Drosophila melanogaster: one gene and its partner. The gene in region 1 interacts genetically with each later gene. Each region holds a gene or a part of one and is shown on either strand. Other genes may lie near its edges.

Evidence for each region.
Region 2: of scrt (region 1) and dpn, changing one enhances a phenotype caused by changing the other (phenotypic enhancement), as found in Drosophila melanogaster (one study listed by BioGRID).

What each region holds. Positions count from the first base shown.
Region 1 is NT_037436.4:3,981,927-3,987,015, reverse strand, and holds the start of scrt (scratch), read right to left. Parts: upstream 3,121-5,089; 5' UTR 1,953-3,120; coding exon 1,526-1,952; intron 493-1,525; coding exon 1-492.
Region 2 is NT_033778.4:8,228,393-8,234,350, forward strand, and holds dpn (deadpan), read right to left. Parts: upstream 3,939-5,958; 5' UTR 3,657-3,938; coding exon 3,531-3,656; intron 3,303-3,530; coding exon 3,207-3,302; intron 3,197-3,206; exon of another isoform or gene 2,712-3,196; intron 2,674-2,711; exon of another isoform or gene 2,111-2,673; coding exon 1,025-2,110; 3' UTR 579-1,024; downstream 1-578. Other genes in the region: CG34217 (uncharacterized protein), read right to left, coding at 1-223. UniProt on the Drosophila melanogaster protein: Transcriptional repressor of genes that require a bHLH protein for their transcription.

The DNA of each region.
Region 1 (5,089 bases):
GATGCTGATGCTGCTGCTGCTGCTGCTGTTGCTGCTGCTGCAACTGGTGAGGTTGCGTGGGCGGGTGGAAGGCTGTGCTCGCACTCAGATCCAGGATAGCATGTGCCGCATGCAGGTCCTCCTCCGCCGGTACCCTTCTTCGATAGCCGTGCGCCGGCTTGTCGTCCAAGGAATACGGCCTGTAGATGTCCTTCTTCTTCGGCGGCAGCGACAGTGTGGCTCCCGTACTGCTGAAGCACTTCCTTTCACTGGAGGTCTGTCCACTCGAGAGCGGACTGTACCGATCGCCGGCGCCGCTGGGCGAACAAGAGGGTGATGACGTGGTGGACGAGGGCGGCGTTTGGTAGGCGGCCAGGTGCTGATCTCCACTTCCGTTTCCGGATGTCCTGGCTGCCACCAGAGCTGTAGCCGCGGCACGGATCACGGTTATCTCGCTCTCCATGCGGGGCAGGTACGCGGTGTAGTGCAGCGGCGAAAGTTCGCGGGTGTAGCCTGTAAAAAGCAGAAAAAATTAAATCATGGGTTAAGTTTTATTCAGCAGCATTTATCATGGTTCCTGAAGTATGCTACACTTTTTTCTTTTGAAATAAGAGTTTCAGTCATTGTAATGTTTTTGTGCCGGAAAATATACTTAATGTAGTCGGATGTAGAGTATATGATTCGCTTAAACTTCCTAGACATGCACTTATAATTTCTTTGTGATTATAATTTTTCCGTTTCCTTTTCTTTATAAGCTGCCAAAACATTTACCCTCTGCCATTCTTAAGATATTTTCTTTAACAAACTTTAAACAATAGCTTTCATTTAAATATGAAGGACTGACACATGCGTATAATTTCTTTTAACCAAGGGCAAACTTTAAAAGGTCAACATAAATATCAAAGACCACGCCTGGAGTTGTGCTAAGATAACTATTTTGTATGTGCTGGAAAATATTATGTTTGCTCAAAGGATTTTCTCCGCAAAATAAGAACTTTGGCGAAGTAGAAAAGTACACAGAAGAGCAACAGCTCACAGCTAAAAAATGGGTTAGTGCAATTACTTTAAATCTGTTTCGTAGTAAGTTATTTTTAGCTTTTAAAGCCTAAACCTATAGAAAGGATGTCTATTGTGAGTGGTTTTTAGGTCTGCCTTGCTTCTAATTTCCACTGAATAATTAATTTCGCAATTGTACGTGGAAAACAGTGACAGGCACACATTCAACAAAAAGGACGAAGGCAAACGGTTTAATTTTGGCCTGTACCATTGTTTTCACGCCAAAGGGAATGGAAACCGAGCTGGAAGTTGGCAGTAGGAAGTCGGCGAGGGTCTGTGCGTTCTGCGTTTTGTGGCCCGCTGGCCGGAATTGCAAACAATATTGAGTGACAACAAAGGCAATTAAATTGATTCGGAATTGTTTCGCAATCGCACAATGGCCACATCAATGACAGCGATTACGTGCGCCCCATCTCGATTTCCACCACCCCCGCCTCACTGGCTGGAGCAGTGTTTTCCGATTTCCCGACTTTCCCGAGGGCTAACTTACCGTTGTAAACATTGCCGGCCACTCGCGTCGCCGCCTCCGGCGAATGGGGAGGCGGACTTGGAGCCGTGGTGCCCGCCGTGGGTGAACTGGGTCCCCAGCACTTGGACGTCGTCGTCGTCGCCGATGCCTCCATGTTGCTGCTGTTGCTGCTGTGCGATGTTGCTGCTTCGGATGATGTTGCTGCTGCTGCGGCAGCATCTGCTGTTGTGCGTTGCTTCTCCAATTTGATCAGGAATTTGTCGCCCACCACATCGATCTCCTCGTCGTCGTCCAGGGTGGAGCGTCTGGACTTGAGATGCAGCTCCTCCAGTTCGCGAGGCGAGTTGGGGGCACTCTGCTCCTGCTGCTGTTGCTGGTTGCTAGTATCCTCCGTCCGATCCAGCCAGGGATAGGCCTTCCACTTCTTGGCTATCAGGCAGCGCGGCATTTTCTGTGTTTTTTTTTTTCTTTGTAGATTAGAGGTTTTGGAGTTGGAGTTGGAGTTTTGGCTAGGAGCTTGATCAGGATCCAGTTAGTAGATCTTAGAGGGCTAAGTGCTGAAGCTAGTGTCGAGTTTCGAGCGAGCAAAGACCGTCTCAGGGGGTATTATTTGTGGCAAAAGCGGAAAGGAAACGTTGCTGTTGTTATCTCGCATGGGAAAATATATATATTAATATATATATATATATATATATATATTGTATATAGAGTTTGGCTCGCCGAAAGATCTCTTAAAGTTTTAGTCGTACAGCTTGTTGAATTTCAGGCCTGGCATTTCTGCCGTGTCTCGTGTGTCTGTCTGTGTGTGTGGAGTGGAGTGGTGTGGTCTGGTGCGTTTCGGTTAAATATTCTTAGTAATTTGCATTTTATTGTAAATTGGTTTGGTTTTTAGTTAGGATTCCTCGGGTTTCACAGCCACTTCACACATTTCGGCGCTTGATTCGTTGTCAGACCCGTATCCGTCATTTGGGCTGGAGTTTCGAGTCGCTCTCTCTGCTCTGTTCTGCTCTGCTTTACTTTGCTTTGCTTTGCTTTTCTTGTATTTTTTTTTTTCTTTTTGGGCCGGAGTTTTTGCGTTTTTGGCCAGGGCCACCGATTTTTGGTCAGTTCCCCCCGTTCAATCCCCTCGCTCCACGAAACACACACGGACACGTTCGCGTTCAGTTGGCTGGCTGCGTGTGGCTTATCGATTTTTACATTTACATTTGCGTTTACGTTCACGTTTGTTTTCAACACGGAATTGAACTCAAAACATAACGGGGGGACGATTTTTGAACGAATCTTTGGGGTATCCTTTCAACTCTTTTTGGGCTGGCAATTTTCTCCTCGGGTTTTTGGAAAACAAAACTTTGTCAATGGCCGTCGAGACGAAAATAAATGTTTTGGTTTGCAGTTTCAGTTTAAAAACGGAAAGTTGACAGATTGGTAGTGGTAGAGTTGTAGTTTGTTGTTTTTGAGAAAGTTAAGGTTGACGCGAGTTGAGAATAGTTGAGTTGTTATTATTGTTGTTGTTGTTGGTAGTGAAAAAATTGATTTAGGAGAAAATATAATATTATATAAGATAGAGAAGAAATGCGAACGAACCGAACGTAAGCAACTCTTGAATGCTTATGAGAGTCTTGCGGCCCGAGAGCCCGCTTATAAGGGTGGTCCACCCCCAGCATAACGACAGCCAGCCGAACCGCGTCGCCTTGCAGCCGAAACGAGCCGAAGGGAAGAGCGAGAGCACTGGAGCGCCAGAGAGCGGAACGCTGAGAGCGGCACAGCCCCTAAGTTCCAACCCCCAGAAAGGAAGCGCATAGCTGTTGCTATTGCTGTTGCTCGTCCTGTGGGCTGGTACACACGATGGAATATGCTCAAGAAACCTAAATCACTGAAATAACATAAGGTAATAGCGGCCAAAAGAATAAAACATAACTTAGTGCTGGCCTTCATGCCTAAAATACCAGTGAAACCCTTAAAAACAAAGAGTTTTCTAACATATCTTCTAAGAAATCGCATCGTGTGCCAGCGCCCTAGAGCAAAGGCAACAATCAGGAAGTGTTTCATTGCCAAAACATTCCCCGCTGTTGCTTTCTCCCGATTTCAAAATTGTTGCGCCTCTCTCTTTCCATTTCCCCACCTTCTCCCACTCGGTCTCTTTCTTTCGACGTGGAGGCACCGGACCCCCAGCCATACCTGAGAATTGGCTCATGGCTCTTTGGCCCTTTTGGAACTTTTTCGGCTTGGGGCTCGCGGCTCTTGCCTCTTGGCTCTTGGCCGCCTGAGGCTCCCATTCACGATACACGGGGTGGATTTTGCGCCCAGAATGTGGCAGTTGTGCCGAGTTAATTGCTGTTGCATTGCATTTGTTGCTGGCTCTGATTTTGAACAAATTGCCAGCGACGGGATGGCCAAAGGGGGGTGTACGCTACTTTCCCGTAAACATATATACTATGCTGGTTGGGGTAACGGGTTGAGGGGATGCAACAGTCGCTGGTCCTTGGCCCTAACTCAGTTAGTACAAGATAAACAGCACAAACTAACTTCTGTCGCCCTCGTCTCTCTGCACTGACGGCTCTCCACTGGCCATGAATAAGTGGTTTACTTTTCAGATCACAGAGGTCGGATATGAGTGCGGCAACTCAAATCGTTGGATGATTAATTGCAGCTCCTGCCGAGTTGGGTTTGATTGACAGCTGGATGTGTCATATGCCACACTCCCAGTATGAAATGAACACGATTTTGGGATGGATTTCCAGGGTTTTTTGATGCCCGCAAAGGGGTCCAGCTATGTGAAGTCTATAGCAATATTTATATTTGTAAAAACATTTGTTTGGCTATTAATTGAACCTATTAGAACTAGAATCATTATCTAGAGATAACTCGTAACATACTACTTTAAAATGTAGTACTAACCTTACTTCGATTAAAGTAAAAACCTTAGAGAATCCTTGAAATGCTTTCAAACAATGCGTTCAAGATGACCCACCATAAAATCCCTAGAACATCTTGAGAAGCGACTTACTTACATATACAATCTGTTCGCATTCCCAGTCAGTGCAACACACACAAAACTAATTAATTAAAGTGGAGCTTCGGTTAGCTGAACGGGGAGCTCGGGCTTTGCATAATCAGACACTTAAATTACAAAGTTCTTAACCTTTTAATTAGCCAGCGACAACAGACAATTTGTCTGCCTCAGACGAGCTTAGCGTCGCTTCTGCAGCGGCTGCAGTCCTTAAAAATTATATATACTTTTCATTGGAATTTTCATTCGGTTTACTATGGTATCCCCCGGGGTCCTTCGTTGAACCCACTTCCTGTGCCCCACTCGAAACAGATGCAACCTTTTTTCTATGGTTTCCCTGTTTAAACTATTTCGAATTTTTTGAGGAAAACCAAGAAGTGCCCACCGCTCCAAATATCTGTCCATCCATCTCGCGGAGTGACAGGCCATAAGGACCTCTTCGGGCATTCCTTGAAAATGAACGGCGGTATGTAAATATTAATGCCAAAGTAACGTATAGACCATCTGTGGAATTCGACTGCACTAATTATAAAAAAAAATTGGGCTCGCCCTACGCCCGGCACCTAAGTAGAAGC
Region 2 (5,958 bases), on another chromosome or scaffold:
GGGTACCAGCGAACAAGGCCTGCATGTAGATGGTGGAGATCTTCTCCAGAGCGCCATCCAAGGTGTTCAGAATGGTGTCCTCGGGATCGTGTAGGAGCTTCACAGGACCCGTGAGCTTTGGAGAAGCACGGTAATGGTGCAGACCATCTTCAGAACTAGATGCCAAACTAATAGCTGGCAGGATCGCCACAGTTAGTAACACTTGAAACAGATTTCCTGGCATGGTAAAATTAAAATTTTTCAATTAAATTGTTTTTATAATTTCTGAGATTTTTCAATGCACGCCTGAAAGTCACTGCGCGCTCTTGATTGCAATAATTTAGTTTTTGACACACTAAATGTGTTCCGCCTATTGCTTATATAGCATGGATTGGGAGCTTTCGATTGAGTTATCTTTTCAATCAAACTTTGCGAAAACATCGAACATACATGATAAGGCTGTTTCCGTATTGATTTGAATTCAGCTTCCGACTTTTCAATGAGTTCAAGTACTATTGATTGTTGATGCGATCTTGAATTTTCCAATTCTAATCAGTTAAGAACCAAGGAACCATTAAATTTGGATGGATTTTTCTTTTGCAGCATTTTTTTTTTATTATCATTATTTTCACTCCATCGAATTTTGCATTACCTAAAAGTTAAAATTACAATCGTTAAATTAAAACACTAATATAGAAACGTGAATGACCTAATGATAAACGCTATACAATGAAAACTACATAACTTAAATAGAAACACGTTTAATTGTTTAAATACTTGAGCAGTTAATGAAACATTAAAGAACATAATTATTTAATGAACTACATAATAGTCGTATAAAGCGCTTAAACGAGAACTACACAAAAAATATACAAAATCACAGCTGAACTTAAAATGAAGAAAGCGAAACGGGGATACATAAAAACATATAGAAATCGTTGAAACTTAATGGGGTTCTAAAGCATTGAAGTGATCTTTGAAAAAATTGCAATGAAATAAATTAACAATGTATAAACGTAACATAGAAGTGGCCTGTGCGGTTGATCTACCACGGCCTCCAAGCGGAGCTCGACTTTTCGATGGCGCCAGCTAGGAATTTCTTGGACGAGGGCTCGTCCAGGGAGCAGTCGCTGGACTCGGCCTCCGCCTCCCTGTCGCGCTTGGCGATTCCGCTGGTGGAGCTCACTTGCTGTTGCTGCAAGTGGGCCAGCGGTCGCGAGCATCCGCTGCTGTCGTGGCTTCCGGCACTCAAGTTGAGGGATCCGCTGGTGTTGAAGGAGGTCTCCGCGCTGGTTGGTGGCGGAGTTGAGAAGACGCCGGCGAAACTGTGCTTGCTCATCACATCCACGGTGGGCGAGGCAGCCCGGGACTCCTCGCAGTGGCTGGAGATGGAGGAGATTGGGCTCAGCGGTGGGCTTGTGCTGTTCTTCACCGGCAGCTGCGTTTGGCCGGGCAGTGTGTGGATGAGGTTTTCCGGAAGATTGGCCGGAACTGAGGTATTGACCGGTTTGCTGAACGCGCTCATCCTGAAGCTCTGTGTATAGTCATTTAGATGTGTGGGATTGGCAATGCTGGCCAAGGCGGCACTGGCTGTTCCAGCTGCGACTCCCGCTGCAGATCCTGGCCAGGCAAAGGGTCCCGGAGGCGGAGCAGCGGAACCTGTGTTCGGCATGATGAGGGCAAACTCTCCCGAGGGCAGGCGGGAGGGAATTAGCTGAAGTCCACCCATTTGGATGGCCGGAGCCGATGACTCCGTGCGGCTGTTGTTGTTCAAGTCCTGCGGCAACGAGGGAAACAGCGGAGTGGGAGCAGCCGTGACAGCTGTGGCGGGAAACAAGCCACCACGGTATCCATTGCTGAAGTTGCTCATCGAACCGATCTGCTCCAGACTATTGGCACACTGGTTAAGATGGGCGCTGAGCCGCTGACGAACACCGGTATCGATGCCATCCATTTGGCTTACATAGCGGTTCACCTCCTCCGCGCACTCAACGAATCCCGTCTTGAACTTCTGGACAACGCTGGGATCCGATTGGATGGCCATGTTGAGCTGCTGGCGCTGCACCGACTGCAGATGCTTCACCGTCATCTCAAGTATGTCGGCCTTCTCCAGTTTGGTATGACGAGCCGGCTAAAAGTATAGAAGACGAAGGAACCAAAGTCAGATAATGATGAAATGGGGATGGGGTGGGAGATGGTCGGGCTAATTGTTTGGGGCCCTACAACAAGTTCAATAGCTTGGGAAAAAGCGAAGTTAAGAAGCACGTTTCGTGCCTCATATGTCCAACTATTCGCGTGTAATCTGCAGTCCACTTCAGTCGAGTCCACTCTGTAAATATCACACGACCAAGGTGAGATTCAGCAACTCCAGCGAGAAGAACGACTGATCTTGCTACTGTGCACTGAGCAAAAAGGGGGCTTAAAGTCAAATTTTCTGGCAAGTGAATACTAATGATGGAAAAGTGACTGTCTTTAGTAAGTGGTTCTAAAATAAACTACTCGCCGATCTTATCGTTTGTGATCTCATATGAAGACTTTTTGGGCACAGAAGATTCCAAATCGTTCTTCCTGATCTTCTTTTTTCGCGCAGTGCGATCTTCGCCAGTCTTCGGTCCCCGATTGTTCGTCCCTTTCTCGCCGCTGGGACTGCATATTTTAGCAAAAGGTTCCCACGCAGGTCGCTCGCCAGCCCCGCCCCCTCAACCTCCCCCGCTCCCCTGTCTGAACCTTTTGTTTACTTTTGCTTTTTTCCCTCAATGTCTTTCTTATTTGATTTTTGGTCCGGCTCTCCTGCAGAATTCTGCGGCGGCAAATTTTACTTGATTTCTGCTTTGTAGTTTCTCACAGCAGGATCACTCCTTGGAAACTGGTTTCGTTCGCATCTCCGGCGATTTCTGCGTAATTCCTCGACTTGTTAACACTTTTTGGTCTCTTGACTGACTCCTCGTCGGCGCTCTAGTGTAATGATCATCAATAAAATTTAATACTCAATTAGAGCCCTTGGTTTGTGTTTTTTTTTTCAGTTCTTGTGTCGTAGGAGTTCGTTTTTTATACATTTTTTTGTTCTTTTGTAGTTCTGCCGCCCTTCGGACACTTGTGCCTTAAAGGTTTTTTTTTGTGGACTAACATTATTTATAAGAAAGTGAACCAAAAGGGATCGGGGGCTAGTTTCTAATTCGCGGGCGGACCGCTCCTTTTCTGCTTTGACGCTCGGGCAAGATACTTACGTCTTTTTTCATCGCCTCCAGGATAAGGGACTTCAGTTCGTTGAGGCAGTGATTAATGCGAGCTCGGCGACGTTTCTCCATAATCGGTTTGTTGGTCTAGAAAAGAAAGGGAATCAATTAGTTTATTTCGTAGGAATTTATTTCAGTTTAAGGGATATCTTTGTTTATATAAAACAAGGGTTTCACTTGATTTTTAAAATTAATTTAATGCTTTACATTTTCTAAGCCATTAAAATGAAAAGGTTCAAAACGATCGAGGGTGCTAATAAACTCTGCTATTTTTTAGTTTGCGAGTCCAATTTCATCGCAAAAGAGCGAACTCACCTTTCTAAGTTCTGCTTTTGACAATCCATTGGGATTGGACATGCGTCCATTGGAGCCATAGCTGTCGCTATAGCCGTTGGAGCAGTCGAAATCGTCGTCGGAATTAATATCGTTTTTGTAATCCATTTTGTAACGATTTTAATTTGTATATCCAAGTGGGAGATAATCCAAGATAGTTCGATTTCGATTTGGTCTTTTTCACAACACAATAACTTTGGTTCGAGTACGAAAATAGTTATAACAATTATTGCACGTACTTCTTAGTAATGTCCGAACAACAAAAACTTAACAAGCGGTACGCGTTAAAGATCGTTCTGGTTATCGAATCGTATAGAATAGTATTTTAAATGTTCATTCAAAGGAGAGCGGCAGACGACCGCGCTCGCGAGATGCCAAAAGGATACTGATCCTCCGAGTCCACGGGCACCAGCTAAAAACGAATCGGGTCGAAGCCGAAACGAGTCCACGAGTGAAACCGAGGGACTCTCTTACCTGGCGACGCGGGCAGCGGCAGAGGCAGAGCTGAGGCAGGTAGGCAGCCCAACGATCGCCGTCCGCAGACTGAGAACTTTTCACCGCAGCAGCGCAGTTGCGCTCAATCGGAGAGTGAGTGAGTGCATAACCACCCCAAATCCAATGAGTTCACACTCGGAGTGAGATTTAAGTGAGTATTTGAGTAGGTATTCCCAGGCAGGCAGAGTTGCCGAGTCAACGAATTGCGGATTCCAGGGGATTAGTGAAAATAGGAGCTTAACTCAAGTAAACGAGACTAAGTCGAGCCTGATCGAGAAACAACACAACATTCGGTTAAGCCAAGTCATTAGCCTTTGGCTTGACGAAACCCACAAAATTTAGTTGATTTTATTGTAAAATACAGCAAGCATTGTATATTAAATAATTTTGAAGGAAATTAAGCATTAAAATCAATAACATATCATTAATGAATTTAAAGTTTATTACAATTTAACAAAAATTTATAACTGAATTTAATCTTCTAATTCGTGTCGAAGCCGACTTAATACCCAATCTATTTGTTTTAGAATATTCATATATTTAGCAATAATTATACAAAGCTACTATAAATCTTATGAATATTATTACTTTACTTTTTTTTACTTTTTACTTGCTTATTACTTTTAATGAATTGATTAAAGCAATAGTTAACAAAAATATGAACTATATTCAGAGAATTAACAGCGATTCTTCTTTAGTACTTGAAATTTGCTAAAGCAAAGCAAAAAATCTTTAGTTCCTTAAAAAATGTATCAAGTGAGATTTTCTATAAGTTATCAGTGAGTAGCATTATTTGCGACAGATGTTCCGTTTGTGTCCGTTTCCCTTTTGGGTGGCTGGCTGATGGCACATTTAGTCGCACAGATTTCACCCTTGGCAAGGACAAACTTGATCAATGCCCGGCGAATGATTTGCAATTCATTAAGGAGAACTCCTTGGCAATTGTTCGGCGCAGCTGCCGCAACCCCCGTGACAACCCAACCCCCTTGCAAGGCGAAATCCTTAGTTTCAAATTCTTCGCTTTTGCCTGGTCGGCTCATCGGCAGAAGCGTCTTAGGGGGTTGCTTGGGTTTCGGGACGGAATCGCGACTTGCAATGGATCGGAATCGGACCTGGATCGGTCGTGGGTCTGGGACTGAGGGTCGGGGTCAATCATTACGGAGCTTACCTGGCTGGGCCAATTTTTATAGTCGATCCCCGGCAGATTTTCCTTTTTCAGGCAAATTTATTACTTTACGATGTTGGCAGGATTACGACCAAAGGAGTTGTCAATAACCACTGACGCGGGCCATGCGCCAGCTGACAGCTGACGTAGATCTACCTATGGACCGATTTGGGGAGTTTTGGGTGGGATCGTAAACGTATTGCGCCGCCTGGCAACCCTGGTTGTGCAAAGTGATCCCTCGCGGCCTGAGCGTAAATCCCGTGTTGAGCAATAATCTGTGGCGATCATCCATCATGCACAAGCTCTGCAGCACTGATCCGATGTCAACTTTCGTAAATTGAATAAATGCCACGGCTACGATTGACCAACTAAAACATCCACAGCAACTAAACCATGGGGTTCGGCTGAATTCTGCACTGATGAGCACATCACCCTGCTTAATGGCGATCACTTTGGCTCCTTTGAACGCCGCAAATTTGGCAAACATTTTCCCACGAAACCCGAAATAAGCACGATGAGCTGGCAAAATGTAAAAGTGCCATGGGCCAGGGAGAAGAAACCTCAGAACCATCCGACATATGTGGATCAATCGTCTGGCGAAACGTGCAGAGTCTGCAGAGCTTCTTCAGAAACTGAGAATTGAAATTCTATAACGAAGAAACCAGTCAGAAATCAAAGTTCAATATCAGCCCCAAACGCCGCTGCTGCTGTGGCTTCTCCTCTTTCTTTCTTTCCTTTTTTTTCTTATTC